Linked DNA regions of Astyanax mexicanus. The protein of the gene in region 1 purifies or fractionates together with the protein of each later gene. This does not show direct contact. Links are inferred from orthologs where the notes say so. Each region holds a gene or a part of one and is shown in the gene's direction. Other genes may lie near its edges. The genes, in order: nrbp1, tsc22d2 and tsc22d1.

The links.
Region 2: the proteins of nrbp1 (region 1) and tsc22d2 purify together in Homo sapiens (affinity purification with mass spectrometry; 5 studies listed by BioGRID and IntAct, with this or other methods). This does not show direct contact. The link is inferred for Astyanax mexicanus from reciprocal best matches to the Homo sapiens genes NRBP1 and TSC22D2.
Region 3: the proteins of nrbp1 (region 1) and tsc22d1 purify together in Homo sapiens (affinity purification with mass spectrometry; 6 studies listed by BioGRID and IntAct, with this or other methods). This does not show direct contact. The link is inferred for Astyanax mexicanus from reciprocal best matches to the Homo sapiens genes NRBP1 and TSC22D1.

Annotation. Positions count from the first base shown.
Region 1 is NC_064408.1:79,490,692-79,502,092, reverse strand, and holds the start of nrbp1 (nuclear receptor-binding protein), read left to right. Parts: upstream 1-7,055; 5' UTR 7,056-7,743; intron 7,744-10,120; 5' UTR 10,121-10,206; coding exon 10,207-10,455; intron 10,456-11,102; coding exon 11,103-11,225; intron 11,226-11,401. Other genes in the region: capn3b (calpain-3b), read right to left, coding at 4,904-5,227. UniProt on the Homo sapiens protein: Required for embryonic development. Plays a role in intestinal epithelial cell fate and proliferation, thereby involved in the architectural development of the intestine potentially via the regulation of Wnt-responsive genes.
Region 2 is NC_064415.1:57,645,445-57,656,341, reverse strand, and holds the start of tsc22d2 (TSC22 domain family protein 2), read left to right. Parts: upstream 1-6,219; 5' UTR 6,220-6,883; coding exon 6,884-8,619; intron 8,620-10,897. UniProt on the Homo sapiens protein: Reduces the level of nuclear PKM isoform M2 which results in repression of cyclin CCND1 transcription and reduced cell growth.
Region 3 is NC_064418.1:28,486,423-28,497,350, reverse strand, and holds the start of tsc22d1 (TSC22 domain family protein 1), read left to right. Parts: upstream 1-6,193; 5' UTR 6,194-7,066; coding exon 7,067-9,873; intron 9,874-10,928. UniProt on the Homo sapiens protein: Transcriptional repressor. Acts on the C-type natriuretic peptide (CNP) promoter. Acts to promote CASP3-mediated apoptosis.

The DNA of each region.
Region 1 (11,401 bases):
AGTGTTGTGACAAAGCCTTGGTCAAACCTGTAGTATGGCTAACATAAAACTGACATAAAAGTGCATTGTAAAAAGATTCCTGAGATTACTTAACAATTATACAGTTTCAGTCAACTCAGGGATGTGCATTACACTTAAAGGTGGCACTAATTAGTATATCCAGGGCCAAACCACAGGAGCACATTTTGTGACAAAGACTAACATAACTAAACATTAAAAAAGCAGTATTATGAGCATACCTTCTTGGTAATTTTTTTGCAAACTTGGTATTTCTTTGCTGGGCTCCCCCTACTGTTAGGATGTGGAGTTTGCACTTTGAGCCACCAATTAGGCATAAACTGCATGTTTTTCACATGCATTGTACAAGTTGAGAGATCCAAAACCATCATCCGAAGTGAAGGATCACTTAGACTGACGAGGAAGAGTAATATTACAATATTTTACACTCACTATTACACTATTTTACACAGTTCTCACAAGCATACTCCTTTTCACTATTTCCCAAAGTTACATAGTGCAGTTTCTGGTGTTCTCATCCTTGAGTAGCAATGTTAGTAGCACTTTTCCCTCTGTTACAGGTCAGTAGAGTGTCAACATGATTTTAAGGCAGACATTTAAAGGTTAAAATGCCACATAAATCTGCTTCATGCAGCTTATTTTAGGGCTGTTAAACTACTGTTAACTACTTACTAGTTACTGTTAAGCTAGTCTTTAAGATGGTGATATAATATGGCAGATAAGCAGAAAGCTGTAGCAGCTGCTGTAGGTCACAGCACAGTATAGTGACTCTGATTTCACCGTTTTATGAGTGAAAGGAGCAGGAATGCATATAGATTGACTATGCATGGCAGTACATATTGATCTCTCCTGACATTTATATTCCTTTTATTCATAGATATTTATAGGAAGCTATAAACACATTCAGAGCGTTGGTGTATTGTTCCTTTGAAGCACTGTCTAAAAGTGTTTTATTGGGTTGGCACAGGGTATAGGTGGTGAAATTAAATATTTACTGGATGACAACTGGTAATAGCAAGGCCATCTACACCACAGCAACTTAATTTATATAAGACCAAGATGCTTCAAGCTCTCAGTTACATAATTGCTTTCAATCTTTAACATTTACAGAACCATAATAATAATAATGTTACTTTGTCATTAGTTTACAATGACAACCTCTTGAGGAGACTAACTGCAATATTAAAAATTAAAAGCAAGCAAACTTACTTTGATTAAGTAATTGGTCACAGAGCATTTTTGGGCCATATTTTGGTGATCTATAGGCAAGCCATCAACCGTGCACCAGGCAGCTTGATTTAGGGTGTGTCAGTGTGTATTTGCTATTGTAACAATGCAAAAAATCTTCCTTGCACAGCTCAAAATGCATCAGAAGGCATGTACTAATTCTTTTAATTAATCATGGGTGTGTTTTGGGTGTAACGTGAAATAAACCAATCAGCATTCCATTTAAGAACCAGATGTGCTCTGATCTTGGCAGATTTCAAAGGTGCTACACTTCTGTGCTTCTCAGCAGAGGAAAATGACCTGCACATTCACACCTCAGGAAAATTACTGTTAGCATCCTAACATTAGTAAACTGTGTTGCTTAATATTTTGTTAGATTTTATGCCTGTATCGCATCCTTCAATTGGTTTACTGTTTATTCTCATCGGGTTAGAGCTCCTTTCACATGTTCTCCTGTGTCTGTGGAGCTTTGGTCAATAGAGTAATGAGCACAGGGCTTTCCACGTTTTCTTGGACATAGAAATGTACATGGCTACACAGGTCTAGGGTGAAGCAACTGTCTAATGCCTGCTTGTTTAAAGACAGGAGTTCATGAGTTCAAATTCCATCAGCAGCACTGGCTTGGATGAGTATGGAATAGAAAGCATCCCCCCATGCTAGTCTACAAATGGGAATAAAATCTAAACAAATATTCTACAAACTGTTTAAACTATTTCAGCTGCTGCACTTTACTAATGTTTACTAATGGATCAACTGTTTAATAGACCAAACTGAGATGCAAATGTGAGTTAGGAGAACTTTAGAGTAAACAATATGTGTAATCTGTGACTTGTGTATTTTAATTTTATGTTAAAATGTTTTACAGAGCATATACAGTACTGTGCAAAAGTTTAAGGCACCGATGCAAATTACACTAATCCATTCATCTAATCAATAGGAGTGTTTTTACCTGAAAAAAGCACCACATATTATTTAAACAGATGCAAAAAACATACATACAGTAAAATGTAACAGTGAATTCTCATTTTAACTAAGTATGTTATATCCTTTGAGCCAAGCTGAAGAACAAAGTGTAGTTCCAAATTTCCAGATATGTTCAGTTCCGTCAGCAGCTCACCTGCTTTACCACATTTACCAATTTACCAAACCAGGTGTTGAACTAGAAATAACTCTATTAAACTCAGATGAGGAGAGATTAGGAGAAGTTGTAAATTTGCTGTTTGTATTCAACTAAATTTATTAAATTGTTTTACTGAAAATAGTTAAGTAACTTTAATAATTATGACAAAATGGTGAATTTGAAACTGTCCAAATGTACTTGATATTAGAAGTGCATCTTGAGACATGAACACTTAAGACACTTTTTCCTCCTCTATGAAATGTTTACACGATTTACAATTAAAATATATCAACACAATAATTTCAAAAATTGAACCAACTGAAAGATCACATTAATCCAATTTGTAACATTGTTCATGTGGAACCATGAAACCCAGTTTTATACAGTACTTCTGTAAGATCTACTGTAGCTATTGAATGTGACAGAGCTGTAAAATCACTAGGTGGTGGATTTGTAGCCATAAAACAAAAGCAGTGACAGAAGGTGATTATCAGGTTGGGAGTGTGTAGCTGCTGACCCTGTGTGAGGCTTGTACTGCCCAGCAGTGGATGCATTAGTGATGTGTAGAGTCAGCTGCCTGAGACCCAAGAGCCCGCTAAGCCTCAGTTATGCCCCAACAAACACACTGCCAAGATGACTCTCACATTCTCTTATGGCATGCAACGTAGCAGAGGCCAACTTATTTCAGGCCACAGCATGGCGGCCCACTCAGAGAGGAAGTGATCACAAGCATCTGTCTCGTGTAGACAGCAGTCAGTAATTGGTGGAGAGTGAGAGCCCACTGATTACCAGTATTTCAATGCAGCTCATGCACTGATATAGTTTAGCTGTGAAACATTAAAATCATCTTATTTCTGAAAAACTGATTATACTCTTGGATGTATTCTTATGAAACAGGTTTGACTGAGTCAACTTTTTAGTCACACTTTTGGCTGCAATATTAGATTAACAACAGTTAATGAATAATTTGCTTTCACACACAATGTAGAAGAATAACTATAAATTTTTCAAAGAACCTTTCTATAGAAAACTATTTCTTATTTTGGCTGCAAACACTGCAGGTTTTTAAAAATGTTAATTTGCATACATTTATATATATTTTAAAAAACATTATAACATAAACATTTTTATTATTGTTTCTAAAGTTTAGTCAGTGCTACTGACCTTTACAGTCTGTTGGCTTAAGCCCTACAAATGCTACCTACCAGCCTGTGCTGAAAGATTGATCGTTGCAACAATAACAAAGGGATGCAGGAATTTTGCAAGTGTATACATGTGTATATACATACACATTTGCAATACCTACATACTGTATATATGTATGGATGCATTTGGTTGCATATTTTACAGGATAAATAAACTGAGGTGTATAGTATTTCTGTCTGTAGGACACTATAGTGTTTAAACAGAAGGGTAGAAATGGATGACCAACCTAAATATGTTTTACTTAAGATAGCTTATTTTAAAGCATTGTTGTTTAAATTGTACTGGAATAACTAATTCATACATTAATTAATTTATCATTTTTACATTTAAATGGGACTGAAATTACAAATTTATAAGTTGGTAAATACACTTTCTGTATTCTGTATTCATTTTTGTCAAATAACAGTATATGATTCTCTTACTTCCATTAACATGTCCATTTACATCCTAGTGGTGGAAAGTTAGAGTGAAGATTCCATTTTTTTACTTTAGTGAAGCCCCAGAGCAAAAGTACAAATTATTTAAATATTTTTTTAAAATATATTTTAAAGATTATTATTATCCATAACAATATCAAGGTCCACTCTTGTCATTCTGGTATAACCTACCCTTTAGGAAAGTACATTTGACATCCATGAAATCACAAGGGAAAGACACTTTCACACTTAAAAAATATATATATTTCCCTTAATATTTCTCATATTGTCTCCATATTTAGTTGAAGTAAAGCTTAAGATGTCCAGCTAATGTTAATGTCCACTCTGTTATTGTCCACCCTGTAATTGTACACCCTGTCATTATCCACAATGTTACTGTCCACTCTGTCATTGTTCACCCTGTTATTGACCACTCTGTCATTGTCCACCCTGTCACTGTCCACCCTGTTACTGTCCACTCTGTCATTGTCCACCCTGTCACTGTCCACTCTGTCACTGTCCACTCTGTCACTGTCCACCCTGTCACTGTCCACTCTGTTACTGTCCACTCCGTCATTGTCCACCCTGTTACTGTCCACCCTGTCACTGTCCACTCTGTCACTGTCCACCCTGTCACTGTCCACTCTGTCACTGTCCACCCTGTCACTGTCCACTCTGTCATTGTCCACCCTGTCACTGTCCACTCTGTCATTGTCCATCCTGTCACTGTTCACTCTGTCATTGTCCACCCTGTCACTGTTCACTCTGTCACTGTCCACCCTGTTATTGTCCATGCTGTCAAGAAAAAAATCATGCAAAAAATATCAAAATCACATTTTTTTTTCTTTGAGGGCAAAGGACATAGTATTTTGACGTGACAACTATAGAAATCCTTTAAAACAGTGAGTTCACTCACCGATGGTCTTTTCCACACCAGTTTGAGTGGGAACTTCTGGTTGTAGTACAGTGAGGAATCATCAGCAGGAAATAGCGGGTCTTTAAACAGAACTTTTTTGCGCACATATTTGTCCCTGAGCTCCAAAAAGTCCTTCAGCCTCTTGGCATCTTTGACGGCTTCATTGCGGCTCAGAATGGCTGAGTAAATGTTCCCGGGGGCCGCAAACAGACTGGCTGCACTGTCAGCTCCAGGAGCGGCCTCTGTGGTCTGTGCTCTCGTTTCTGCCACCTTCTCTTCATCTGCTTTTTCCATTGTAATCTTTTTGGTTCTGTCCTTGTTCATGGCTGCAGTCTGTGTGGGACAACAGTGCAGATCAGACAGTGAATTAATGGGCTGAATAAACAGTCAGAGTAAAGAGTTCTCTAATGTTTTCTAACTGATCTGATCACACTTTGCTCAAGCTGTGAGCTCTTTTATATTCTTGGAGTCACACCCCCTGCCACCATCATCACACACACTTACACACACACACACACACACACATGGCCATCCTTGTAGTCTGTTCTATTAATAGGTCTTTTAGTAGCACAAGATAGTCTCTCTTACCCGTTCTCTCTTACACTTTCCCTTCTTTTACTCTCTCTTCCTTTCTTTTCACTCTCTCTTTTTTCTCTCACACTTTCCTGTGCACTGTGCTTAATGTGCAGTAATGGATTCAGTAGTATCATAACAGTAGTGTGTATTAGAAATTAGAACTACATAATTAAACAAAGTTAAAATAAAAGTTCTTAGATGTGCAAATATTTTTTAAACTTTTGAATAATAATTTGTTCCATCCATTTCACCACAATAATGCTTGAACCTTATCCCCATATAACTGAAGGCAACTCTGAGGGTAATAACATCCTGAACAACCCATTAAACTATCATACCATTGAATTATCTTTTCCTATATTAATGAAAGAATTAAGTGATTAAAGCACCTTAATGCGGAAAGTGGTCTCCATAAATGTGTAGCCATATAGGGGCAGTTACTCAGTTAGACATGCATATAAAAGCCTAGTCTTGGACTACATAGCATTGTAAATAGAGATTTGTCATGTAGTGCATAAACCCCTATTCCTCTACAGACACATACTGAAGCCTCTATTTTCACATAATTTTGTACAGTGCTGTTATGTAATTGTATGTTTACTAGTAATAAAATCTGTTGGGAAGTAGCAGCACTGGGTTATTAACAGTAGGGTTAGGTTCAGTGTGTTGCCACTGTTGGGCCTTTTGAGCAAGGCCCTTAAAAGCAGAATCCAAATTCCATATGTGTCCAGCATGAGTATGGTGTATATGGCTGTCCTGACATATCAGATTTACTGACCTATAAAGTAAGTCTGACTAGTCTCTTTGTATAGTTGTTTTTTGTTCTGTTATGTGTTTCTACTGTCAGGGCTGACCAGAGGGGGATGGATCCCACTTACTGAGTCTTTGTTCCTCCCAAGGTTTCTTCTATTAGTATGAGGGAGTTTTTCCTTGCCACTGTTGGCTATGCTAGATATATCTAAAGAAGTATGACTAGTAGTAATTTATATGGGAATATGGGAAGTTTCACAGATTTACTATTCAGAATTACATTGGAAATATATATATTATTTATGTGTGTGTGATGATCTGATATTATTTCTAGTATATTATTTAATATACATTACAGAGGTCTTGAAATAATCACTAAAGTTTTTTTTAACTGGAAAATGACCAGTATTCTTGGTGTGATTTCTAGTTTTAACAGATTACAGCATCAGACAGTCTAAAGAACTGTGATTTATCTGTGTCAGGTTCAGTGCTCGTGGTTTCCTGCAGGAGGCGCTGTGTGGGGCTGTGGTCTGTTACCAGTCTGTTACGGGTTTGTGGACCACTGCGGTCAAGTAGAACCAATGGGCGTAGCGAATGGGCGGGGTTACTTTCAATAAGTTTGTGCATCAGTCAATCATACTACAGAGATCAACCTTCAGTCATTTATTGCATTTCCCAATTAAAAGTGTGAGGTACCTGTCTGTCATATTGTGCGTCAGCTAGTATTTTCAAGCCCATTGGAGCCCAGGCTGCAGTTACACCTACTTGCCTGCGGGGGCGCTGTGCGGGACTGTGGTGTCCTGCGGGGGGCGCTGTGCGGGGCTGTGGTGTGATACCGCTGAAGAAGAAGCAGTAGTTGGTGTCGCCATTAGTGTGCGGTGTTTAGCGGAGATGTTCTGATGGTATTAGTGGGTGTTGTTGGACTCGTGGAGGCGGCCGTGTGTGCGGTATATCAGCCCTTTAAGCCCGGGGAGCTGCGCGGGGCGTGTCGGCGCGGTGCGGCCTGTCTCCAGTGAACACAGCGCTCCGTTAGAGTCTCCGGCTACTGGCAAACAAACGGCTTCCGCCAGCCGGTCGGGACGACGCCTTTGAGACAAACCCCGCCGCTAACTTTCTTCTGCTGGGCTTTATTTCACACAGACACGCCTCTACTGTTCAGTTAGAGCTCAGTTTTACATGTTAGGGGGTTAAACCCGCGCTGTGGGGTCAGACAGTTAGCTGAGTGGCTAATTTAGTTAGCTCAGCTCGCTGTGGTTCCTCCACCCTGTCTCTCTGGGTCTGTCTGTGTGTATCGATCAGGTGTGTTGTTTGATCCGCAGTAACTCCACAGATCAGGAGGGCTGGTGAGGAGATCTCACTCCTCAGAGCTGAAACACCACCGCCTAAACCTCCTCCTCCTCTTCTTCGGGTTAAGACTTTAGTTTAGAGTCGCTCCTGTGGATGTATCTTAACCCTCAGGTCTGGATCTTTTTGTCTGCTGGAGTTGACCTAAGCTGGCGCGGCGCCTGAACAGAGTGAGTACCTAAAGCCCTCCTCTCAGTGTTTATAGTCTGTTTTAATCGATATTTAACATGTTTATTAAAGTGTTACCGGGGTGACGCTGGTCTGTGGGTGAGGTTAGTGATCAGGATGTGGTGAACTGATGTTGTAGAGGTGCAGTGGCCTTATCGGGAGCTGCTGGAGCTCCTGAGGCCTGTAGCTGCTGCTGGAGCCAAACCGGAGGAACAAGTTTTACAAGATCAGCCCGAGAGGAGCGCAGTCCGCCGCCGGCCCGCCTGTGTTCCGCTGCAGGGCGGGGACCCGTCAGGGGCTCGGTGAACTGAGGAATCCGGCGATAGCTTTCTGTACAAATCTTCATAACCCAGTTACTCACACACGATAGCTAACTAGCTAGGAATCAACGGATTCCGCGTTTTACCGAAACCCGTTCCGCCATAAATTAGCCACAGCTAAAAAGCTAAAAATAGCAGACTGTGATGAGCTTGTACCAACCTGCTTAAGTGATTTTTACTTAACTACAAAACCTGAAAAAGAGGCTTGTGTTAAACGACTGTCTATTTCAGATATTTTTGCTTTACCTGATAACACTGTTAATATAGTTTTATACACCTAAACAGACAAAAAATATACTATATAACTTTAACCGAGGGACTCAGCAAAAAGCTAATAATGCAAAATAGTTTTAAAGGGCCTCTATATGTATCTAATATGAGTGTAGTTTAGTGTACCCTGTTCTGTTGTCTCTTCTCATTGGCTGCGCTGTAGTGACTGTAGTGATTTTTATTATGCGCGTCAGTGGGCATGGCTGATCGAACATATATAAAGCTCTGGAAAGAAATAAGAGACCACTTAAAATTATTAAAGTTTCTTTCATTTTACCAAATTGAAAATCTCTGGAATATGATCAAGAAGAAGATGAATGATTACAAGCCACCAACTGCTTGAAATTTTGCACCAGGAGTGGCATAAAGTTATCCAAAAGCAGTGTGTAAGACTGATGGAGGAGAACATGCCAAGATGCATGAAAACTGTGATTAAAACCAGGTTTATTCTACCAAATATTAATTTCTAAACACTTAAAACTTTATGAATATGAACTTGTTTTATTTGCATTATTTAAGGTCTGAAAGCTCTGCATCTTTTTTGTTATTTCAGCCGTTTCTCATTTTCTGCAAATAAATGCTCTAAATGACAATATTTGGAACTTGGGGAGAAATGTCTGTAGTTTATAGGATAAAACAACAATGTTAATTTGATTCAAACATAAACCTATACATAGCAAAAAATGAGAAACTGATTCAGAAACAACTCAAACCTATGATATTTGTTGTTTTTTATTTAATTAATACTCTGTGTACAATAATGATCTGAATACAATACATTGGACCTATGCTATACATTTGATGTCCACTAGCCAGATGTGTGCTGGAGTGGTTTGAATTTCTGTTACATGTGAAAACATACATTTTTGTTGACTTGAGCTGCTAAAATGTCTGCATATTTGTGAGGAAAGGAATTTGCTTGTTCCTCATCCCCGTTTTAATCCTTCTCAGTTAGCTCCTAATTCCCTAATTCAGCACCTGGACTGCATTCCTGTTGCTCTCACCCCTCTCTCAATACTTTCATATTAGCCCCAAGGCTTCACCAAGAGATTTATAGATACAATAATGTTCCTATGCGGGTCTATATGAAACTCTTTGCTATCTGCTTTTCATTTCTGTTCGGAGCATACTTTTATTGAAGTAACTGTTTCTTTTGATTAAATATCCCCACGACTATGATACTAATCAATGATATTAAGTATTTTACTACATTTTACTACTTATTTTACTGCAGTTATGTCCCCTGGACTTCTCGGAGGGATTTATACTAGAAATTGAAGTGTTGTGAGGATCTGATTGCTTATAGTGTTGGATTGTAGATCTGGATTGTAAATGTTATTGCATAGAGCTCTGTTGTTGTTGTTGTGTTTCATTTCACTGTTTTGTTTTTGTATTGGTGAATTTTATTTTGACACGTCTGTTTGTTCTGTTGTATTAGTGACTTATTTTGACACAATCTGTTCATGATTGTGACCTATTTTGACATGACCTGTCTGTCATTTAGTGATCAAGATGTGCAATGTCCTCTCTGTCACACTCCTAAAACTTTTTGTTTTATTTTACATTAAAGGTTTACAGTGGATTTTGTCATTCTGACAGACCAACAGGTCATTACTTTAAGACTTCTCTTTTTTAAAGTCAGACCTCCATTGTCACAGTATACCTATGATTTGGATGAATAGAGTGAATTATTATTGTAGTTCCTTAGTTTGTTTTTGTTAAATTCTGACATCCACAGTCTTACCATGTAATAATCTTAGCTGTGCCCATTCTGTTTCTCCTCACACAGTAATCTGCCTCCCACCCTTGTGGTGCGAGCATTCCAGACTGCGTTTGTAGCCGGAGGTTGTGGGCAAAGTCTGTTATCCATCGGTGATGTCTGAAGGAGAAGGCAAACAATTCACTTCTACTGCTCCAACATCCACCATGGAAGCGAAGCCTGAGTCGGTAGCCTCCGTCCCTGCTGGCCAGGGTGTCTCCTCTGTATCTCCCCCGGTGTCCACAGTAACTCAGCCTCCCCCTGCCGCCACTGCAGCCACTGAGGACGAGGAGGAGGAGAGTGAGGATGAGTCTGAGATTCTGGAAGAGAGCCCATGTGGACGCTGGCAGAAACGCAGAGAAGAGGTACAGAGCTTTGGTTCTATAGCAGGACTGTAAATAAAGTTAAACCGTGATATTATTACTGTACAGCATTAAGAATGGGTTTATCTGATGAAAGAAAAAATAGACAATTTTCAGTAAAAAGAGGATTTCTAATTTATTATTATTTGAATGAAATATGGTTATGTTCGAATTCCTGAAGATGGTGAAACACGTAATCAATGTGTTGTGAGAAGCATGAGTCACATTTATGAGGGGTGTGTGTGTTTGGACGGTCCTTGTTCGGCTGCGCATGACTGTAGCCCTAACAGTTCAGATACACTCTGCAGAGTGAACAGTGGACCAGTAAATGAGAGCAGAAGCTGCTGTTGAACCCTTGGAAATGCGGCTTAATTCCTTTTTTATTTTTATTTTTTTGCAGAAATGTGTGCTAAAATAATAACAATGTTACAGAAAATGATCCAAGATAGTTCATTATATTTCTCTGTTGATATACTGAATTCTGTTATAAAAAATAAATCTTTGAAAGACTTTAAAGCACATTTTTTAATTTAAGTTTGTTGGACAAGGAGATACATGTGTGAATCCTAATTAAAACAGTCAGTCTTCTTTGTTGCTTCAAATGTTTAGAATTGTAAGTAGTTGATGTTCACATGTTCACTGTTCCACAGGTTAACCAGCGAAATGTTCCTGGCATCGACAACGCCTACCTGGCTATGGACACAGAGGAGGGAGTGGAGGTGGTGTGGAATGAGGTCATGTTCTCCGAAAGGAAAAATTTCAAACTGCAGGAGGTACAGTTAAATTATTTCACATATAAAATAGCACAAGCAGACACAAAACAACACAACCTACAAATACATCCTCTTAGTCAGTCCACTAAATTGTGTGGTGGTTCCCACCAAACTGTTTTCTTGGCTGTTTGTTAGTCCTACTTGTATCATCTCCACACAGCAAAAAATGTCATTGC
Region 2 (10,897 bases), on another chromosome or scaffold:
GTATAGACCACTTCTTAAACTCTAGGAACTTGTTAGCCAATCAAAAACATGACTATTTTTTTTGGACTTATAGTTTGTTTAAGAAGAGATATTAGGTATTATGGTAGGTTTTATTTTTAGCTTAAGGGTTTATCCGATCTACCAGTACAAATTACAAAGCTTTGAAGGAGCACTAAACCCCGTGATTTGTGCTGACTCCACCCTCAGATCAAAATTTTAAAATGCTACAAAAAAAAAAATAATAAACAGTTTAGGAGTTGCACTGGGTGATGTATGGGTTTAGGGACGGGGAGCTGGGGGCACCTCTGATAGCAGCAAGGCGCAAATGTTTGGCCTTAATAAGGAGAGGGGCAGTGTTTATTGATTATTAACTGATTTGCAAATTTTGAGTGTCAACATCCTGAAGTACACTGAAACATCATCCTTATAGCACAGTTGAAGGTGTGTGAGGGCACTGCAGAGGTGGAAATAACCGCAATAAAAGTGTTTTTTAAAAGTTGGAAACAATTATGATATGTATTATTACTTCAGAGGAATGTATTTCATCTATTAATAAAAAATAAAAATACATATATACGGTTTAGGGTTTAGTGCCTCTTTAATATGCTGTTTGTCCAACCATAACCAGCATGGCCAAACTTTAATAAAATAGCTATTTGTCCACTGCTACGCACCGTAATTACACTTTTGGGTGCACGTTTCCACAGAGATCCACATAAAATATAACATTAACACAACAGCGAGTGGAAATGGAGGAGCTACTGAACGCCCTGATGATGTCATGTGAGCGAGAAAAAAGCCTAAAATCTCACTGGTTCTCCTGTTTTTTTATTTGCAGTCCGGATGCAGGATGTTTTTTACTTTAGAGTAGAAGTGTGAGATATTTTTCACAGACGCCCCCTGAGAAACTAATCCTATCCAGATAGGGCTTAACACTAATAGTATAATAGTGTGTTTAATGCTGAATTTTAAAGTTAGCTAGCTCCTCTCTTATACTATGTAATTCTTGAACTATACCTTGATACAAACAAACAGATAATTAATAATACATAATAATAATTACTTTTAATGGTACTTTTACTTTTATCTTTAGTTATTAACATAAAAGTACTCTGTGGTTTGTCTTTGCTTCAGCTTCAGCTCTGGCAGATTGAACACACATTTGACTGCACAGAGCTGCATTCGCGCCACAACCCAGAGAACATGACAAACTACACTCTAAGAAATATAAGTACAGATTTGTACTTAAAAGAGTACAAAGCTTGTCGCTGGGGCTGTACCTTATATTAAGGTTCAAAAAAGTACCTTTCAGTGAAAGTACTTTTTTGTACCCATGGTTTTTGTGCCAGTATAGATTATAAAGATTATAAACATTGTCATCAACTAAAAATGGCTCAAAAACTTGATGATACAAAATTGTCTGGCTTTCAAATAAAAAATGTGCAATTTAAATATATACTGTTCATTAGTACAGTGATGCAGAATACTGAATGTACCTTTTGGCTGGTTAAATGGTACAAATCTGTACTTATTGCTGTTAGAAATGACTTTGTACTTCAGAGGGAACAAATCTGACCCTGTAAAGACCAATATTGTACCTTTGAGGGTACAATTATAAAGAATGTACCTTCGAGTACAAAAAAGTACTCATATCGTACCTCTGTTTTTTAGAGTGTAGGGCGTGTTCCAGCACTGAGGCAAAGGTCGCTAGGTGGACACCTGGTGAACGCCTTGAAAAAGCAAACGTTAACCTGAGGTGGGATTCTACCCATGACATTGTCCACGCTGATAACATGAATACGTTATTCTGAGATAGGGATGGGGCGTATGAACGCTCGGTATCACTGGGTTAGGGAAATTAGCTTTGGGCCTGTTGCGTGCCGTATGAAAATACAGAGCCAGTCCAGGTTGTTTTCCTTCTTAAACTCGTGAATTATTTTCGTCTTCTTCTTTCTTCTTCGTCTATTTACACTCTTAATCACCTTGGTGCACATTGCTCACCTAAGGAGTAAACACAGTGACACAGTCACTCACATCTACGATCTAAAGGTCATTTGGAGATAACACACGCAGGGCTGGTGAAGATCAGCTGGAGTAAAATGTTCATAAAGGATTTGAGGCTGGAAGTGAAATAAGGCCCCCATTCAGGAGCACACTGCGCTCTTTCCTCATAGATCTTTCTCGAATCCACAAAGTGTTGCCTGTCCCTCGCTGAAGCGAGGCATTGTAACACTTCCTGCTTTTTCTCCAGGCTGGTTTCTGCTCGGGACTTTTCCCTCTCACCATGAGAATGTGCTGCATGGCAGGAAACCACTTAGAGCCGGCGGGTCATGTGCATGGGAGGGACTTCCTCGAGAGGAGTCGGCTTGGCCTTCTCTCTCTGTGTCTCTCTCTCTCTCTCTCTCTTCTCTTTCTCAGCTCTCTCAGTTAGTTTTCTATCTTATCAGCTCCACTGTCTATAAAGGAGGAGCACTTTGTAGTTCTATGATTGCAGACTGTAGTTCTCTGCATCTGTTTCTCAACATACTTTATTATTATTATCCTCTTCACACAGCATAAATAGACCAGAACAGAGATACAGCTACTATTATTATTAATATTTGGGTAGTGGGTCATTATTCTAAGAGATAAACTTAAAAAGAAAGAAATTGATCATTTTTTTGTAATTTTTTTGCATAATTCATTGTGTAAAATCAAGAAAAGCATATATTAATTAATTAATTTATTTATTTAACATAACTACTAAAGAGAACAATATTTCAAGTTAACATCAGTGCAGCATTTAAGATAAGCAGATATCCAAAAGCAGTGTGTAAGACTGGTGGAGGAGAACATGATGCCAAGACGCATGAAAAAAACTGTGATCAAAATCCAGGGTTATTCCACCAAATATTGATTTCTGAACTCTTAAAACTTTATGAATATAAACTTGTTTTTTTTTTTTTCATTATTTGAGGCCTTCCTATAAGCCCCGCAGTGTTTAAAACCTCAGTGTTTAAACACAGTGTTTAAAACCTCCAGCAGCACCACTGTACCTAATACATTCACTGTACCAGCTCAACACACACTAACACCTCATACACCACCACCACCATGCTAATCAGTGTCGCTGCAGTGATATATATATATTCACGTACAGTTGTGCACAGGCATGTAAGGTCATATGTAAACCACATGTAATGGTAAATGGAAAGCATATGTAAACATAGGCTAGGCTAATGTTGTTAACACTGAACTTAAAACGTAAGACCTAAAAACTTTTTTCAACCTGCGTACAGATTTGTATGGCAAATTAGTGTGGTGTAGAGCATGGCATGACACGAAAAGAGGGGAATTGTGGGAAAGTGTTTTGCTGTAAAATTTAGTTTTTTAGATGAGTTAAAATAAGGTACATTTATTTTATTATAGTTTACCTAGATAACTAGATAGCCTAGATATTAGGTAAAGGATTTTGACTGGCCTTTTGTTTATTCGGGTTTATTTTAATGTAATATAAAGTTTTACAGGTAGACACTCACTAACCACTGACTTTTTCTTTATTCAGGTTTTTTCTAATGTTATATAGATATAAAGTTTTACAGGTAGATATGTCCACTGATTTTATGTTTATTTGGGTTTCTTCTAATCTTATATAAAGTTTTACAGGTAGACACTCTTACTAACCATGGGCTTTATGCTTTTTTGGGTTTATTTTAATGTTATATAATGTTTTAAAGGTAGACACACTCACTGACTATTGGCTTTATGTTTATTTGTTTTTTTTCTAATGTCATATAATGTTTTACAGGTAAATACATAAATATTTAATCATTCTGGAGGCCAATAAAACAAAATTGTATTTTGATAACTAAAATACAGTTTCCTGTTGCTGTCTTTTGACAGGTTAGGACCGGTAAACACTGCATGCACGTGAGGGCAGCGGCCTAAATAAATTATTCAGCATTATTTCCATGCTTTAGGCAAAACTTCCACCGCATTCACATGCTTAATGTCTGGACAACTACAGGGGTAGTTGTTCTCTGTATTTTAGACACTAGCTCAGAATCAGATATAACTACAGCAGTTTAAAGTATGAAGCTATGTCAACAGAGCCTTGTTATTGGTTTATATAGTTAGAGAATTTAATCTGGCTGAGATTTACTGGTGCATGTATCATGTAAATGGTATTTCTGTAACTGAAATCTAATAATAAAGAAATGACGTGGTCTCCTGCACAAAGTACTCAAGTATATCTGCACATATCAAATAAAAGAACAGGCATCTATGCAAGACTGATATCTATACTTCAAAATAAATGTGCAGGACTAATCAACAGTTACTGGAAACATTTAGTTGCAGTAAATGCTGCAGAACGAAGGTCATACCAGATAGTTTTGTCTTATTTTTAGATGTTGTCCTTGTCCAATTTTGGGACTGAAAGACTTGAATTGGCTAACATAGAATCTTAAATTTTAAATGTTAAAATGCTTCATATATCATTGTGTAAAAGCAAGAAATGCATACATTTATTAATGCATTTATTTATTCAACAAAACTATGAGGTAGAACAACATTTCAACATCTGTTAACATCAGTATAGCATTTAAAATAACTGTTTTTTTAGGAGAAGAATTATATGGCTGATTTGCACTTTTATGAGAAAAAAATGTACAAATAGAATTAAAGTAAACAATATTTTCAAGATCTTGCAGCAGCGTTGATGATGGTAGAGTCTCATGCTCCCTGAACCCTGAACCCTTTCACAATTCCAGCCCCATGAATCCTGACATTGTCATCTTGGAATATTCGATCCATTGATGGAAGAATAACCTGGTCTATATTCAGTATATTCAGGTAGAGTCAGCTGACCTCATTCTTTCAGCACATACTGTTGCTGAACCTAAACCTGCAGACCAACTGCAGCATCAACCAACCAACACATCATTTACTCACTTACATCCAGGATAAAGATATATATTTTAACAATCAATTCAGATAGAGAGGATGTTAATAAAGTACAGAGATAGTTTTATATAGTTTTATTTGCACACAGTTAAAGGTGTTCTGCATGCAGATGTTTGTGTATCAGGTCTGCTGAGCGCAGCTGCGGTGTCTCCTCTTGCTGCAGTGCAGTCTTTTCAGCGTGTATGTGGCTCCCTCTAGTGGACCACATCTGGATTTCACTGTAGGTCTCAGAACAAAGCAGAGAGCCCTGCTTCAAAAACATGTTCTGTAATAAAATAACGCATATTTATTAAGGCCTAGATTCCCAAAAAGTATGGCGACATGATAGTAGAATATATATATATATATATATATATATATATATATATATATATATATATATATATATATATATATATATATATATATATATGTATATATATATATATGTGTGTGTATATATATATATACATATTTTTCTTCTATAAAATATGTTGCGATATAAAAAATAGGGATGTTTAGAAGATTTCTCCAGAAGTAAAGAACCCAGCATAAAAAGATATTAATAATGCCCTCTATGTCGAGAAAATGTATATATCTTAAAAAATATATATTAAAAAGTCACTTTCTTTTTTCAAAAATACAAATATTTATCAAAAATAAATAAATCATTAACATGCACAGAAGACAAAAATATCAATCACAAAATATAAGCCTTCTTACCTACATAGCTTTCGTGGCTTTTAACTATAATGAAAATAAATAATTACTCATGGTGATAGCAAATGGTCTTAAACAGTAAAGAAAAAATTAAAGAGTAAGAAAAATAATATATATAAAGAGAGAACAAAATAAAACCCGCAGTAGTATGACAGTGGAAATGTAAAATATTGTTTAAAAAAAGGCGATAAGAATGTTAAATCTTCTTTAATTATTTATGTTATATTAATAATTATAATTAGAACTATTTTACTTAGCTTTTCTTCTCTGCTGCTTAAAGATCACGAGTTTATCAGGTCTTATTATAGTTATTAAAACATTGTATGTAATTTAAAACTATATTAAAATATTACTTGTGTATTATATAATAATATAATTATTATTTTTTTTTTTAAATTATTATTACAATAATTGATTTTAAAACTAAAGTGTTTAAAAATATTTGTAAAATTCTAGAATAAAAGTCTTTCATGTTTGCTACGCTTACACACTAAACCCTACGCACGTTCCGTATTCACCACGCAGATTTGCGCTCGTTCCGCAGTCAGCCTGTGCGTATCTTTAGCCATCTTGTAGAGCGGAGGAGTGCGGTGGGTTTAGCGCTGCTGCTCCGCGGTCTGAGCGCCGTTCCCACACACAGTCTGCAGATCAGCGCTACAGGAAAAGAGACTAAAACACACCGCGGCCGCCTGTCTGACTCAGACCCAGGCTGCTCCGGAACGGCGCGGGCGCGTCTTTCTCCTTCTTTCCCGGAGTGTTTTGGTACTTGTTCTGGAGGCGGAGGCCGAGGCCGGCGGTGGATGCGAGGCCGCGGGCAGCCTTCCCGCTTCGGCCCGGAGAAAGCAGCCTCAGCCCGGGGAGCTCGACGGCCACGCCGGCGTCGCTTCGGAGCCCGGCTCGGAGCCTGAAAAGCTGCGTTTAGGCCTCTTCAAGTCGGGTTTGTAGTGCGGACTCTGTTTTTAATCACCCGTCGTCTCCTTAATGCCCTCGGAAAGGACTTTTCTGAGCTTTTTTGAAGGTTTAACTGTGTTAAAAAAGTCGTCGAAAAATGCAACAGGAGAGAAGAGGAAGAGCGACGGTGACGCACAGGCTAACGGCAGCTAGCGCTAAAATCTGAGAGAAGCTCGTCCAGGTTTCCTCTGCTGCGTTTCTGGGGCGAAGTAGCGCGTTAGTCTTAGTTTTTAAACATTTTTGGGTCGTATTTGGTGCCTGGCTGGTGCTCACAGACCCTGTTTCAGACATGTCTAAGATGCCGGCGAAGAAAAAGAGCTGTTTTCAGATCACCAGCGTGACTCAGGCTCAGGTGGCCGGCAGCGGCCAGCCTGACGACACGGAAAGCCTGGACGATCCGGACGAATCCCGGACTGAGGACATTTCTTCATCCGAGATCTTTGACAGTGTGTCCCGGACCGAGCTGGAGGCGGGCACCGGCGAACGCAGCTCGTCCGAGGAGACTCTGAACAACGTGGGAGAATCCGAGGGTCCTCCTGCTTCTCACAAGCCGGGATTGTTGGCTCCTTCCAACGGAGGCGTGGGGCCTAGGGAACTGGGAACCTTATCTGGTGGAGCCTTGCCTGGGAGCTTACATTCACCTGGAGTCGTGGGCTATCAAGGGCCACAGGGGCCTGTCCAGTCGTCCCAGTTGCCCCAGGTATCCCAGGTGACCCAGTCATCATCCTCCTCCACCTCCTCTGGGGCCTTCAGTTCTCGCTTCAGGCTTATCAAACTTGACCACAGTACTGGAGAACCCTTCAAGAGAGGCAGGTGGACCTGCACGGAGTATTATGAAAAAGACCCTGATGTGGGCAGTAGTAGAACTGTGGACAGTATAAGGCACACGAATGTGAGCGTGGTGAGTGAGCAAGGCACGGACAGAGATAGAGACAGTGGGCTCGGGGCCACAATAGGATCCGTGACCCGCCCTTCTGGCCTCTCTGGTCAGGGGGACGAGCCGCCCGCCCTCGACCCATCCTTGCTCCATGGGTCTCTGCATCCTTTCGAGCAACATGGTTATGGTATTGTGCCACAACAGGTGCCTCCTGGCTCTGGGACGGTGACCTCTGACGCCCTCGGTAGCAAACAGCAGCATCAGGCCCCTGCAGGCCCTGGTTCTCATGTCACCAACGTTCCTCACAGCCTTCTCCCGCCCGGGCACAATGGGTTGCAGCAAGGCGGTCATCACGTTCAGAAGCAGCTTGGAGTTGCACCAACAATTTCTCAGCAGCAGACAATGCTCTATCAGGCCCAACAGCAGCAGCAGCAGCAGACACAGCAGCAGCAGTTACCTCTTGGACATCACCTGCCCAACCAGCCGGGCCTAGCCGAATACGCACAGCAGCATCTGCCTCTGACTGTCGCCCAAACACATCCCGGTGCTAGCTTGTCTGTGGTTCACCCAGCCAGCCAGGGGCCTTCACCCGTCCCAACTCCAGCAGCGGGGGGCATGCCTGTGTTGGGTGTTCCTGGGGATATGACGGGCATGCCTGTTCCTTTACCAGGGGGCCAGCCTGGGCCTTCAGTTTCAAACCTGTTGCCCCAGCTTGGGGCAGGAATGATTAGTGGAGTGAGCGCTATTCCTACAGGACAGTCATCAGTTCAGTTGGGACAGTATCCACCCTCAAGTATGGCAGTGCCTCCACAGAACGCCCAAACGTTGCCAGCAGTGCCCACATCAGCTGGGATGGGCGGTGCGCCCGTTACGGGTGGGCACTCCCCAATGCCAGCCAGTGGAGGCGTGCCTGTACCCATGCCCAATGCAAGCTCGTCTCAAGCCCAAGTGACCCGCAACGCAGCAGCCGTGGGTGGGTTCGGCCAGCTGGAGGAGGGCCGGAGGAAATCGGACGTTCTGGCCCAGGTTCCTCTGATGCCTGGGAAAGATCTGGGCAAGCCCCTGATCACGGAGGACCTGCCTTTGGCCACCCCTGGAGTGAACAGCCTGTTTGGAATAACCATCCCTATTGATGGGGATGATGACAGGTGAGGAGTCACTCACTTGCACTGAAACCTGATGTTGGGTTCACATTATTTTGGCCTGCTTTATTTTTTATTTATTTTTATCATCTTGCTTAGGTTCTTCACTCTCGTAACCACAGAGCTTTCGTGTTAAGTTCATAAAGGGGTGAGCGATAGAGCAAGCGTAAGGTCACAGTTGTGTTTTCTGATATCTGATGGTAAACTGGAGTGGAGAATAAAAAATAGAGGTGGCTTAAACACACACACACACACACACACACATCAGAACCTCTAAAATTTTACACACTGTTCTTACAAAGTATTCCCTTTTTAAAAATACATGCTATTTATGTACTTCAGGTTCATAGTAATTACTATGAATAGTAATTATTCAGTATTACACAGTAATTACATATTTAAAATTTTACATCTAAAATTGACTAACAATCTGATTAAATTCTCTGTAACTTAATACCGAAAGTGTTGGAGTAAATAATTTAAATCTGTAAATTAGCTGTGCGTATTAAAGTTAAAAATTTATTAACAGCATTCACAAAAGTTTATGAACGTACACTGTATAAGCCTGATAAAGATGACAGGACAGTGTTTTTTTATTTCTAGTAAAAACAAAACATAATCATACACTACTGCAGCAAAATGCAAATAAGATTTTATTACTACATATGATATGATAAGGCACAGCCCTAACTGAGATATTAAAAAATACAAGAATTTGATCAGATTTGTAACAGAAGTCAATAATCCAGAATGTCGTGGTACCAATAATAATAACACTCCTCCAAATATCTCCATATATCCAGAATTAAAGTAAAATAAGTGATACTGGACAGATATAATCTGTATCTAGTAGGTATATAAAGTGGGAAAGTAGCACCCTGATGTGATGATTAGGGGTAGGTGATATGACACCATATTTTAAGGGTATAATATCGTTCATAATATTAATTACACGTTACATAAATTACGTACAATACCCTAGTCATGATAATATCTTGCCATCAGATGGGTTTTTAATGTGAAAGCAGTCTAGTAGATGTCTTAAAAGGAAAATGTTTGAGAGATGTTTAACTTTTGTTTTTAATCACATGATGATAATTAACTTTCACTTCCAAAAACCTCAGCTTTGCACACTGGCGATTGATTGGAATGATTGTGAATAAGTGTCAGTCATGCTGTTGCTTGTAGTGAGCGTGCACTGTAACAAATCCCCACCATAGGCCACACGAAGGAAGCCTTCTGTTTGGGTTCTCTTGTTAGGGCCTCTTGAAGCTGAGAAGTCATCTGCAGAGGAGGAAAACAAGGAGAACCTCCTTATATGTACAGAAATATCTTTTCTTTCATTCAGACGCTGTTTGCAAGCTTCAGCTGAGGTTTTATTGTTTCAGAATGATTCAGAAAAGTCTGAATCCTGAACTTCCTTCTGCATTAAGAGTTTCCTTATTCCTTTAAACTCTGGCCTTGCCTGCTGACCCCTGAGGATTTGCTTTCTGTTATTCGTGGCCGTGACCCTGACTGTTTAGTAGGGTTTTAAGAAAATGTTGACGCATATTGAGGATAGGACTGCAACTAATGATTATTTTAATGGTCGACTAATCTGATAATAATTTTTCAGATTATTTGATGAGTCAACAATTATTTCTGCTATATTCTCCATTTCTAAAAACTATAGAAATGGTTAAACATGAGATTTAAAAGCCATTTAAGCGTTCAGATGTTGTTTAAGCATGAAAAGTTTATTAAAGTTTTTATATTTAGTGAGTAAATATGTCATCTGTTGTGTTTGTGCACTTTTGAAAACACAGAGCAAGTTGAGTGTAAACTTGCCATTTCCCAGCACTTTGTGTAATGTGGTACTGTTAGAAATTAACGATTAGTCGACAATTAAATTTCTATAAATAAATCGATAACGTTGATTATATCGACTAATCGTTGCATCTTTAGTGTATCCAGTTTGCATTCTATATTGCAGCACTTGGAAATGCATTCTATGCATTCAATGCTATGGAGGAGTGTGAGGTTGGCGTCCCTTTAAAAAAAAAATTTAAAATCTTAGAGGACACAGTCGTCATTAAGCTGTCAGTAATATTTTGTTAAGAGACGCAAGCTTTTACAATAAATGACTTTAAATTATGCAAAACATCATCGGCTTATCGCGGTCAAAAAAAATCATAGTTATTTCACCTTGCTGTTGAGTGGCTACGCTCAGAGCTTCTCTTTAATCAAGAAAGCAAGAAAGACGAACAGCTATTTATCAGGACGCCTCACGTCGAGGTGTTTATCT
Region 3 (10,928 bases), on another chromosome or scaffold:
TGAAGAGTTGTTTTTATTGTTTTCTTATTAAAACATAAATTACAGTATGCTATAAGCTGTCTTGGTATTTTAACAGTATGTATGTAAGCGGTGTAATTAGCCATTTATTCAAGTTTGCATCTGAGAAAGATAAAGTTTTCAGTGGAGCTAAAAACCAAACATGTAAGAACATTAGGTAGAAAACAAATATAAAGTTATATTTGATACATCTAACAGCCTAATTACCTATGTGGCATTTTTACTGTCACATTTATGTCATTCTCGCAAGAAGACAAATATGTGGTGAGATAACACAAATACAAAGATTTGATACAGATATTTAAGTCAGTTGATTCCTTTTATATATAGCTTCATTGTCTGATGTTCAAATGTGATGGGGAGGATTAAAAAAAACAAAAGCAACAGCAGTTGAAAAAAAAAAATATTTGTAAAATGTAATTTTAATAGAATTAATAGAACAGAAGAATTTTACTGGTAAAGGTAAAGTTTATGCAAAAAAAATATAAATTCAAACAAAAAAATGAATGCACTAATAAATACATACACTTACAGAGTAAAATCCGCAGTGTTAAAATCACTGTGTAAATATGTTTTTCACAGAGTTGGTGTTATTATTCAGAGGTAAAATTTAACTGGATCTAACAGACTCTGCCTCTTGATTTTGTGTGTGTCTTGGATAGGATAAAAAAGTAACAGATTCTGTGGTATAGCTCACATTTTATAATGTTTTGTAGATTTTCAGTGTTGAGTTATTTTAACACTAGAGTGAGTGGGACAATATGTTATCTAGGACAAATTTAAATTACTGTCAATTTTGCTGTGTATGTTTATTCATGTAGAACTTTAAAGCATTTAAATAGAAGTACACTGCTATTAAATGAGCCCCTAGGTGGCGCCATTTGACACCATCTAATAACAAAGCCTGTCTGTCATCTGTTCTGAACATAACACAACCCAGACTGTGTTTAAAACCACAAGCTATACTATACTATACTACACAAAATGAGAGTAACCTGTATTATGCCATACATAATGTGCTAATAAAACTGCACCTTATGTCTCCTAATGCACATATTATTTTGACATACAGCAACTGTTAATACACAAAGGTATATTTAAGGATATTGGGAAGCGATTTAAAACACATATTTAATCATGCAGTGGAAACACTGCGATACTGAACTTATCTACTGACTTCTTTTGTGTTCCATCCTTACGCAACAACAAGAACACATTCAGTTGACAGGCCTGATACAAGACATGGTACATAAAGAAAGGCTTTCAGAGGCAGAGCCCATCCTTCATCACATCTTCATATGAAATCAAATCTCTGAAACAAGCACCTTAACGAAGATCAAGGTTATAACAATGACAGAGTGCTGAAATACTGTGAGCACAGTCCTTGCTGTCTTATTCAAGGACACCAAAATGAAATCAGCTGCATTGAAATTAACTACAACTGCTTACTCCACACTGACACTCATGTATTTCAGATAAAGCATAAGATAGACCTGGTTTCCATTACATAAAGTCTAAGAAAGACACACAGATAGATTGAAGCTTTATTATCACCCTCTTCAAATTTGTTTCACCAATAATTTGCACCAAAATTCCTCTCACAAAATGGCAAACACTTGCAAGACCACAACATCCGATCTGTGACTCTGCAACAGGTCCAAACAAAGTCTTAGAAATTAATGGTAAAGAAAAAAACTCAGTGACCTTTACACAGTGACAAAGCTGCAGTGACAAATAGAACCAGGTTAACATTCCCACAGGAGGACCTTAGATCTATGAGTTTCATTTATGAGAGACAATATAGCATGTGGCACAATAGAAACAAATGGAACAAGTGAAAAAAACAATCTCTCTTTCACCTTCTAGCAAAAACGTATTACAAGCGCCTTGGTGAAGGTTGTGAGATCATTTATTAGCTTTAAATCAGCTGTCACAACAAAAGCCAGCAGCAAACTCTTGTGAAAATAAATCAATCTTAGTTTGATAGATAGATATAACTGTCAAATAAAAAAAGCACTTTTGAAAGAAAGTTTAAAGTGGTTTATGTGTATAAAAACAATAATGGCTTAAGTATTAAGCCTTGAGGTACAACACTTGACAGATGTTTAAGTCAGTGTACTACTGGAAGAGAATTATCTATGGCATCAATAAAGTGTTTCAAATAATCTAAATCTTTATTCTTAATACTGGTTTCTGTAGTAAACACCATGAATGATAAATCAGGAACAGCAACAACAACAAATCTCAACATTAATTATATTTAGAGTCACATAAGCAATTCCTTCATAGAGAATACACATTAGTACTATTGTTATATATGTGCATTTAAAATAGCTTTTTAGAAATAACTACTGCAAACGGTCCCAATAGTGCATTTATGTTAGGATGCGTTTGTTATTTGATTAGCTAACGGACTCAAAAAAATTGTAGTTTATCGAAAGGGTTAAATGTGTTCTAGGCATGGCACACCACAATTCTGATGTATTATTAGTGAAATGTAGCTCTCTTTGTAGCGTTACGATGTTACCTTTACAGGAGTAATACTAAAATTATAAGGGTGTAAAATGTATCAAGCATTTTCTTACAATTTTTTTAATATGTTGGATATCTAAAGCTTATTTATTCATACATACATTAATGACTGAATCAACTGTAAAGGGCAAGGACAGGAAAAATATGACCAATCATAATCACAGGTACCATTTCATATCGCAGGCATTTGCACACAATAATTTACCAAATGAGCGGATGACTGGACTGGTCTGACAACACTATGAGTATCAGAAATTCCGACTTAAAGTTGGCTCACAAGTGGACACAATGCCCCAACTACAGGCTTGACATCTGTATTCAGAGACTTTAGGCTTTGCTTTGCTGCTCCTCTCTCTCCTGTAGGCTTTTGTTGTTTCAGGAATTTCACCTCGCTTCAGGACAACTGTGTCAATGCAGCAGCTTCATCTGCAGGCTTCACATATTTCAAAACCCATAAACATCTTTGAACATGTTTAAATGCTCTCATGACAGCAGCAGAGAAAAGCAATGAAAGCACAGCGTTTTGTTGTTCTGCTTTCAACTGAAGCCTTGGATTACATGCAAACAGTGACTCAACAGTGGGCCCTATTCTTTTATCTAATCATAAAGATATCATTTTAATAAATGTTTACAAACTAAAGCAGACAGCAGTGTTTAAATTGACCATAATTGTTCAGGAGGACAATAGCTCTCTGTGTTTTTTGTTGTGGAGTGCCAGTGTGATTTAAAGCTGCTGACAGCACCAGACGCTTACATTGCAATCAGCTCTCGCTGGCTCTCTCCCTCCGACATTTGTATGGATGGGTACAAGCCTGTCTGCCTGGGCTGAATATTGCCTGCCAGTGACAAAGGGCACACATTCATTTCGGAAGGGCATCTTATATCGTTTCCCAACAGTTATTGTTCCGGATTACAATCATATCAACCTCACTTTCATTCAGGTTTGTTGACGAGTCCAAAGAGAAGGGATATCTATCAACTGTAGGTCACATCAGCTTTTTGTCCAATGAAGTACCGCATGCAGTTATTTTTGCATTACAGGGGTACACATTTGTATTTCATTGAATAAGTCCTGGATCTAAAAGCTTCTGAACCTCTGACAAAGCAGCTGTTTTAATGAGACACTGTTATATGCCTAAAATCTGAATTTAGTCTCTGAAAAGAAGGTCATTCAGGTAAGTATGTGCATACAATGAATATATGTTAACATGTTATCTCAAATTAGTACTTAGTAGTACCTCACCTCATATGACATAAAAATTACCAAATTGATTTCCCCACTAAAAAATATGTTCTTTCATTATTGGCTATCTATTACACTACTAGAATCAATTATCAAAAGCACTACAAACAACTCAACTAACAACAGACTAAACTATGCTACCCCTACCTCAACTTTTGTGCTTTTTGTTTTACTAGCAATTACACACTACACACCACATCTGACAAAAAAGAACTCTAGAAAAGTTCCAGCTAACTACAGACCTATTTTACACATTAACATCAGAGAGACAGTATGGAACAGGTCTTGTAAATGTCCAAAGAATGTACTGTTATAAAGTCCCAACCCCTTTAAGCAATGTTTGAATATTTCTTAATCCATAAGAGTGTAAAGGTGCCAGTGCAATCCCACCAAAGCTATGTATTTTTCTAAGTTTCATAATGAAAAAGGAATATGTGGAATACATTCATAAATACATTTGAAAATGGACACAACATTTATGTTTTTGTTAATATTCTGCAACTATTTAAAATAAATGTCATAGTATAAACTATATTATACAATAATATAATAATATTAAATCATTTTAAATTAGTTTTCATATATATATATGTGTTTATCATATATATAACCATATGTTTATCATGTTGCGCAGCCCCTTCCCCTTAAGTCATATTTTAAAACCCTTAACACATTAAACTACTGAGCCTAGAACTTTAGCTCCTACTCTAAACAGAGAGGACCAACCATCAGTGTGTGCAATGGCTGTGCAGTGAACACATGTGTTTGGTTGTTCTCTTCTGTCTGTGGAAAAATCTGGCACCTCTTTCAATGTAGCTAGTTGTTTTGTGAAAACAGGACACATTTCTGGACCATGTTAGTTAGCCACCAAGCTTGTTTCCCCCCATACAGTCTGTTTACACTTTGTTAAGCTGCTGACCCAGACAGAAGTCAACAAACTATCCTAGGTGGGTCTATTCAAGCTAAATAGCTAGCTAGCTATGCCATATAGCCCTGATAATGTATAACAGATAACTCAAAGTACCACCTTCAAGTCATCCACAGGAACATACACATGCAAACTAGGGGTGTATGATTTGGACTAATAATGCAATGTGTAATAAATATGTTGGATATCCTGAAGTTAATTTGATGTGAAACACAACAAATTAATGCTACAAAGTCCAATAAAAATGCTGTAAAATGAATTTCATTCTCATGACTTTTCATTTGGAGAAAAGTATGCTCATTTTAGAGTATACTCATATAATGTTTTTACTCAACAGTGACAACATGTTATTGTCTCCAATTAAACCAGGCAGATTCTTAAGACCCAGATATTTGGACATCCCCTGGTACCCACATGCATTTGCTTAAATATTTTTTTCAATCATCCATAATGTCAAATGTGAGCCATAATGAGTTTAAAACTGAGCTTGGTCTGCGAGCTAGCTTAACTGATTATTTAATTAGCAAGATACAGCTCTGGAAAAAAATAAGAGACCACTTACAAATTAGACACTTCTTTGATTTTACCAAATTGAAAACCTCTGGAATATAATCAAGAGGAAGATGGATGATCACAAGCCATCAAACCAAACTGAACTGCTTGAATTTTATCAGTTTTATCCAAAAGCAGTGTGCAAGAATGGTGGAGCAGAACATGCCAAGATGCAGGAAAACTGTAATTAAAATCAGGGTTATTCCAGCAACTATTGATTTCTGAAGTTTTTATGAAAACTTTATGAATATGAACTTGTTTTCTTTTCATTATTTAAGGTCTGAAAGCTCTGTTTCTTTTTTTTTTGTTGTTATTTTAGCCATTTATCGTTTTCCGCAAATAAATGCTCTAAATGACAATATTTTTATTTGGAATTTGGGGGAAATGTTGTCCGTAGTTTATAGAATAAAACAGCAATATTTATTTTACTGACACATATGCATATGAATATATACAAAATCAAAGAAACTTAAGTGGGCTTTTCAGAGCTGTATCTTTCTATCCAACTTAGCTATCTAGCTAGCATCACCCGGGCCAAAAGGACATAAGCGACATGAGGACAACGCCCACTGACAACCTCAGGGGTCCAGTGGAGATAAAGCCCCCCTCCTCCGGTTCTCTCACGTAGTAAGCTAAAGCTTTCTCTCTTTCTCCGCTGCTGGGGTGTCTCACAACCCCTCTGAAACACTTAAAAGCAGAAGTATTTTATATTATATTATATTAGACACTTAGAGCCATAGAGACAGCGGTTACAGTACGGTCAAGTCTTTTTTCAGCTGATAAATAACTAGCTAGCAAGCTATTTTGCAGATCTCTCCAACAGACCACCCCGCTCTCACCCTCTCCTGACTCTTCCCTTGTTTCTATGCTCATTTTTTTTCTAGGCTCACCCCTCCCTCCTCTTTCCTCCCTCCGCCTTTCCCTCAGACTGGCTTTATGTCTGGCTGTTGGCGGCGTAAACAGACATGCGCTGTCGCCATGTTATCAGCAGCTTCTCCTCCCCCTTTCGGTCTCGTCACAGGCAGATAGCTGGCTAGCAATAGCACAGGCTACATTACAAGGAGACAGAGAGAGAGCTGAAGAGAGACAGAGAGCTGTTGGGAAAGAAGATACTAGCTTACTATTTAGCTACTGGTGCAGCTAGCTAGCTAACACTGGATTATAACAAAGAGGACGGGGACATGGAATAAACACGGACTCCGGTAACGGTACTCGTTTTGGATACAGCCTGCCAGCTTGACAACGTCGGTGGATTGTATGGTTTTACGCCTGCTGTAACGCCGGATTCAAAATGCGAATCACAATCTAGTAGCTGTAACTGTACTACATGCACTTGTAGCCAGCCACCGCTGTTGGATATTGAAAACGTTAGGTTAGCTAACTCAGCTGTGTTCAGTTTGTTTGATAATAAATTTCTGTATTTGCTAGCTGTTTGGATAATATGAACTGTTAGTTAGCTAACTAAATTTGGTCATATCTGACAACGTTCTGGATCTGAAACGTCTTCGACAGTTAAATAGCTAAGATAAGCTAGTTATGTTAGCTTGCTAACTAACTGAGTGTAAACCAGTGTTTCTAAGCTGAGAGCACTAACGCTAGCTAGCATTAAACGACGACTGTTTTTAACTTAGCTAACGTTAGCTAGCTAAGCTAGCCATAAGCTAGCATTCAGTTTAGCCAGGTTAGCTAGCTAGTTATCTAGCGCGTAGCCTGGCCGGGACATTGTTTAAATACCTTGAACAAAAGTGGAATTATCGACTCCTGGCTGTTTTTGGAAAGGGGCCATTAGTTTTATGTGGAAACTACTTGGGCGAGGTGAAATTCCTACTGAAAAAGACCTTGTCAACACGGCAGTTCTTGTAAGCTGTATTTACAACTCTGCCGGAGACCACCCCCTAGAAATGCATCACCCCGACCCAGCAGGAGACTCGACGAGCGCCCGAAAAATGGCGCAACCGGCGACTTTTGCCCGACGGGCTGCCGGTAACACCGCTAGTGCTTCTCCCTCCGCGTTGACATCTTCGGGAAGTGCCAGCCTTAGCAACAACCTGATGCCGGCAGACGATTACAAGCCCTCCGCGCTAATCCAGCCGCTGGCCTCAGCCGCGGCCACGCTCGGCTCCCAGCTCCCTCCTCAAAGCCTCAGCATCCACCCCCAGCCCACGCTGCTGCCCCAGAACCTGCCCGTGGCCCCGGGGGCACAGATTAAAAAGAAAAGTGGCTTTCAGATCACCAGCGTCACCCCTGCCCAGATCTCCGTCAGCACAAACAACAGCATAACTGAGGACACTGAAAGTTGTGATGATCTGGATGAGTCCCACACAGAGGACCTCTCCTCTTCTGAGATCCTGGATGTGTCCTTGTCACGGACCAATGACACCGGTGGACCTGAGAGGAGCTCATCTGAAGAAACCCTCAACAACTTTCACGAGGCAGAAACCCCGGGGGCTGTATCTCCAAATCAGCCACCTATTCTGTCCCAGACGCACCACGGCGGCACACACACTATGGTCAATGGTGCTGTTAACCACCACCATCATCATCATCATCAAAATAATAATCATCATCATGTTCAGCAGCAGCAACAGCAGCACCACCACCACAATGCGGGGCACCCCCAGCCCCACCACCATCAGTTTCACCCTACGCATTCTGGAAATACTCATTCCACTTCTTCTGCAGGATCAGGCGCTACTCAAGCTGCTGGCATCCCACTCGGTAGTGTGGTGACCTCCACCATCACAACAAGCCCTGAATCTGTACCAATCATAGGCCAGAAAATGCCTTCGAATGTGGGTGGAATTCTGGAAAACGCCTCTGTTGCCACCACCAATGTCATTAGTCAGCCCTTGGTTGCTGGTGCACCAGGAACATCTACTGGCATAGTCACTGCGGCATCAGGTGCTACGATAAGTATTAAGCGTTTACCAAGCAATGCAAGTAATGTTAATATATTAAACTCCAATGTGCCTGCTTTGGGTGGCATAAGTACAAACAGTAGCAGTGTAGTTTTTTCCTCTGGCTTGAATAATACCAACAACCAAAACGTAAACCTAATGCAGCAGCAGAGTGGTGTAGTAAGTAATGTCATCACAATGACAACTGGCACCACTGCCACTGCTGTTACTGGGTCAACAAGTGGTAGTCATGTGGGGACAGCTGACGCTACCCAGCCTTCAAATGCTATCCTTGGCTCTAACACTCATTCTCAGCAGGCACAAATGCCTCCTCCTGCTACTACCAGCTCACGCTTCAGAGTGGTCAAATTGGACTCTAGTTCCGAGCCGTTTAAGAAAGGCCGATGGACATGCACAGAGTTTTATGACAAAGAGGCTCCAGGTTCTGGGTCCTCTGAAAATGCACCTAGCACCCGAACAGTAGAGAGCATCCGCCAGTTTGTACCTGATAACGTGTTGGGCTCAGAAAGAGACAGTGTGAGCTCTGTCAGCAGCTCAGTCAGCACTCTAAGTCACTACTCTGAGAGTGTGAGCAGTGGTGATATCGGAGGCTCCTCAGCTGTGCAGCAGATCTTTCCACAGCCACCCACTACTGCTAACATTTCCAAACCTCAGATGCCTCGCCAGGACATGGTGCATCCCCATCTAAAGGCTGGTGCAACCACCCCACTGCCAGCCTGCACTCAGCAGCAACAAAATGCGGTAAATATGGTAGGCTTGCAGACGGCCACTGGGCATCCATCACCGGCCGTGGCCCCACAGCAGATGACATATGCCCAAGCAGCACAGCTAACTCCAGCTCAGGGCCTCTCAGGAGTCACCCCACAGCAGATGGCCTACCCGCCTGCACAGCAGCCAGCGGCACCAGCCCAGGTAGCCCCAGCACACGTCAACCCTTTAAGCCAAGGGGGCAGCCTGCCACCTGACTTCACTCAGCAGCAGCCGCCTCAGGAGATCATCCAGGCTGCAGCTCCGGGATCAGCGCAAGCCCTTCCCCACCTGTCCAGCTCCATCCCCCCTGTCACCGTGGCAGGCAGTGCTCAGATGATGCCGGGTTCACAGCCACCTGTGGGCACTGTGCCCACTGCTGTAGCTCAGTCGCTTTCTCAAGGACTGATGCAACCACAACAGACTCCCTCACCCCAGATGGCCCAGGCCCCCACCGGTGGGGTCATGCCACAGCTAGTGCAGTCTACAGGGCCTGGAGTAATCCAGCAGCCCCAAGGACCACAGCTTTCCTCTCAGCTCTCCATGGAGCAACATGCGCCCCTCAGCAATCAGGCATTAGGAGCCCAGTTTGTCCCTTCAGTTACATCAAGCCTGCCTGCATCAAATGTGCCTCCCAATCCTCAGAGTGATCGCCAGTCCAGCTTGGTACAGAATGGCGCTAAGAATGCCAGCGCCCAGCCTGTTGTCAGTGCCCTTTATGCCACCCTGCCCTCACTGATGGCCACACAGCTGGAGGATGCCCAACGCCTTCTCTTTCAGCACCAGTCTGTGCTCGCACTTCCCAAGCTAGCAGCTGGTGAATGTGCCTCCCAAACTGGCTCCTCCTTAGGTCCTGAGGAGAGTGGTGGAGTTAATGCCTTAACTGCCTCAGCCAGTCTGCTGAAGAACTTGCCTGTAGATGGAGAGGAAGATAGGTGAGTGTCAAAATTTGTTTTGAAAAAGTTAAGAAAAAAAGTGTGGCTGATGTGAATGTTTAGAATTTTCTGCATTTCTTATTTCTAATATAAAGTATTACACTTATGTACAAGGTTATTTTCAAATATAGGTTGTTCTTGGGGAATAGAAGGTGTAGGGATATTGTCACATAAATAAAAATAGAGAGCAGACCCCCTTCATAGGCTGCTGGTCACTTTTCCCATGCTAAGTGACAACTGCTTATATCAGTGTACTGACAGACACGGATGCCCACTGCTTTCAATTCACACTCTGACCTTTAAAAGTGTTGAAGGTTTGAAGCTGACTTTTGCACATGTATCAACTGCAGGTGTAATATTTAAGCTCCCTCTATGATTACAGCAATATTCTAAATACCTGTCATAAAAAAATAGTAGTTTGTTTAATCTGAACTCCAGAACATCACACCTTCTGTTATCCAGCCAAGCCCTTTTTGGCCTTTTTCATGAAAAAAAAAAAACTAATGCGCTTAATGAAAGATGAATTCATGTAGTCATCCTAAGGGGCAGCGCGTGTAATGGAATGAAAGTAGGAATAACTGTTTGGATAATAAGATCATGGTCATACAGGTATACATACACACTGTATTTAACTCAAGAGACATGTAGACTTGCATTACCATCAAAGACAACACAGAGTATACTCTACATATGACTCCTCTGTTCCTGACAGAGCTTGCTCACAGATCTGGGATGATGAACTGCTCCGTCACCAGACACTCCTTAATGAAACTGGCAGTTCTGTTAGAGCGTACACATTAGGAGAGGCAAATTATCAGAATGTTTCTGGTATTCTATTTTTAGACTGAAGTTAATCACAATAATAACTTTTATCCATTGCTGTTAACTATGAAAGCCCATGATGATCAAACATTACATTGTATAATTACTTTATATGCTGTTTTTTGGGGGGTTCTTTATTAAATGAGAACAGCAGCAAATCTTAAACACGTGTGTGTGTGTGATCATACATCTTGACCAATTTAATCATAAGAGATCACACACATGATTGAGTG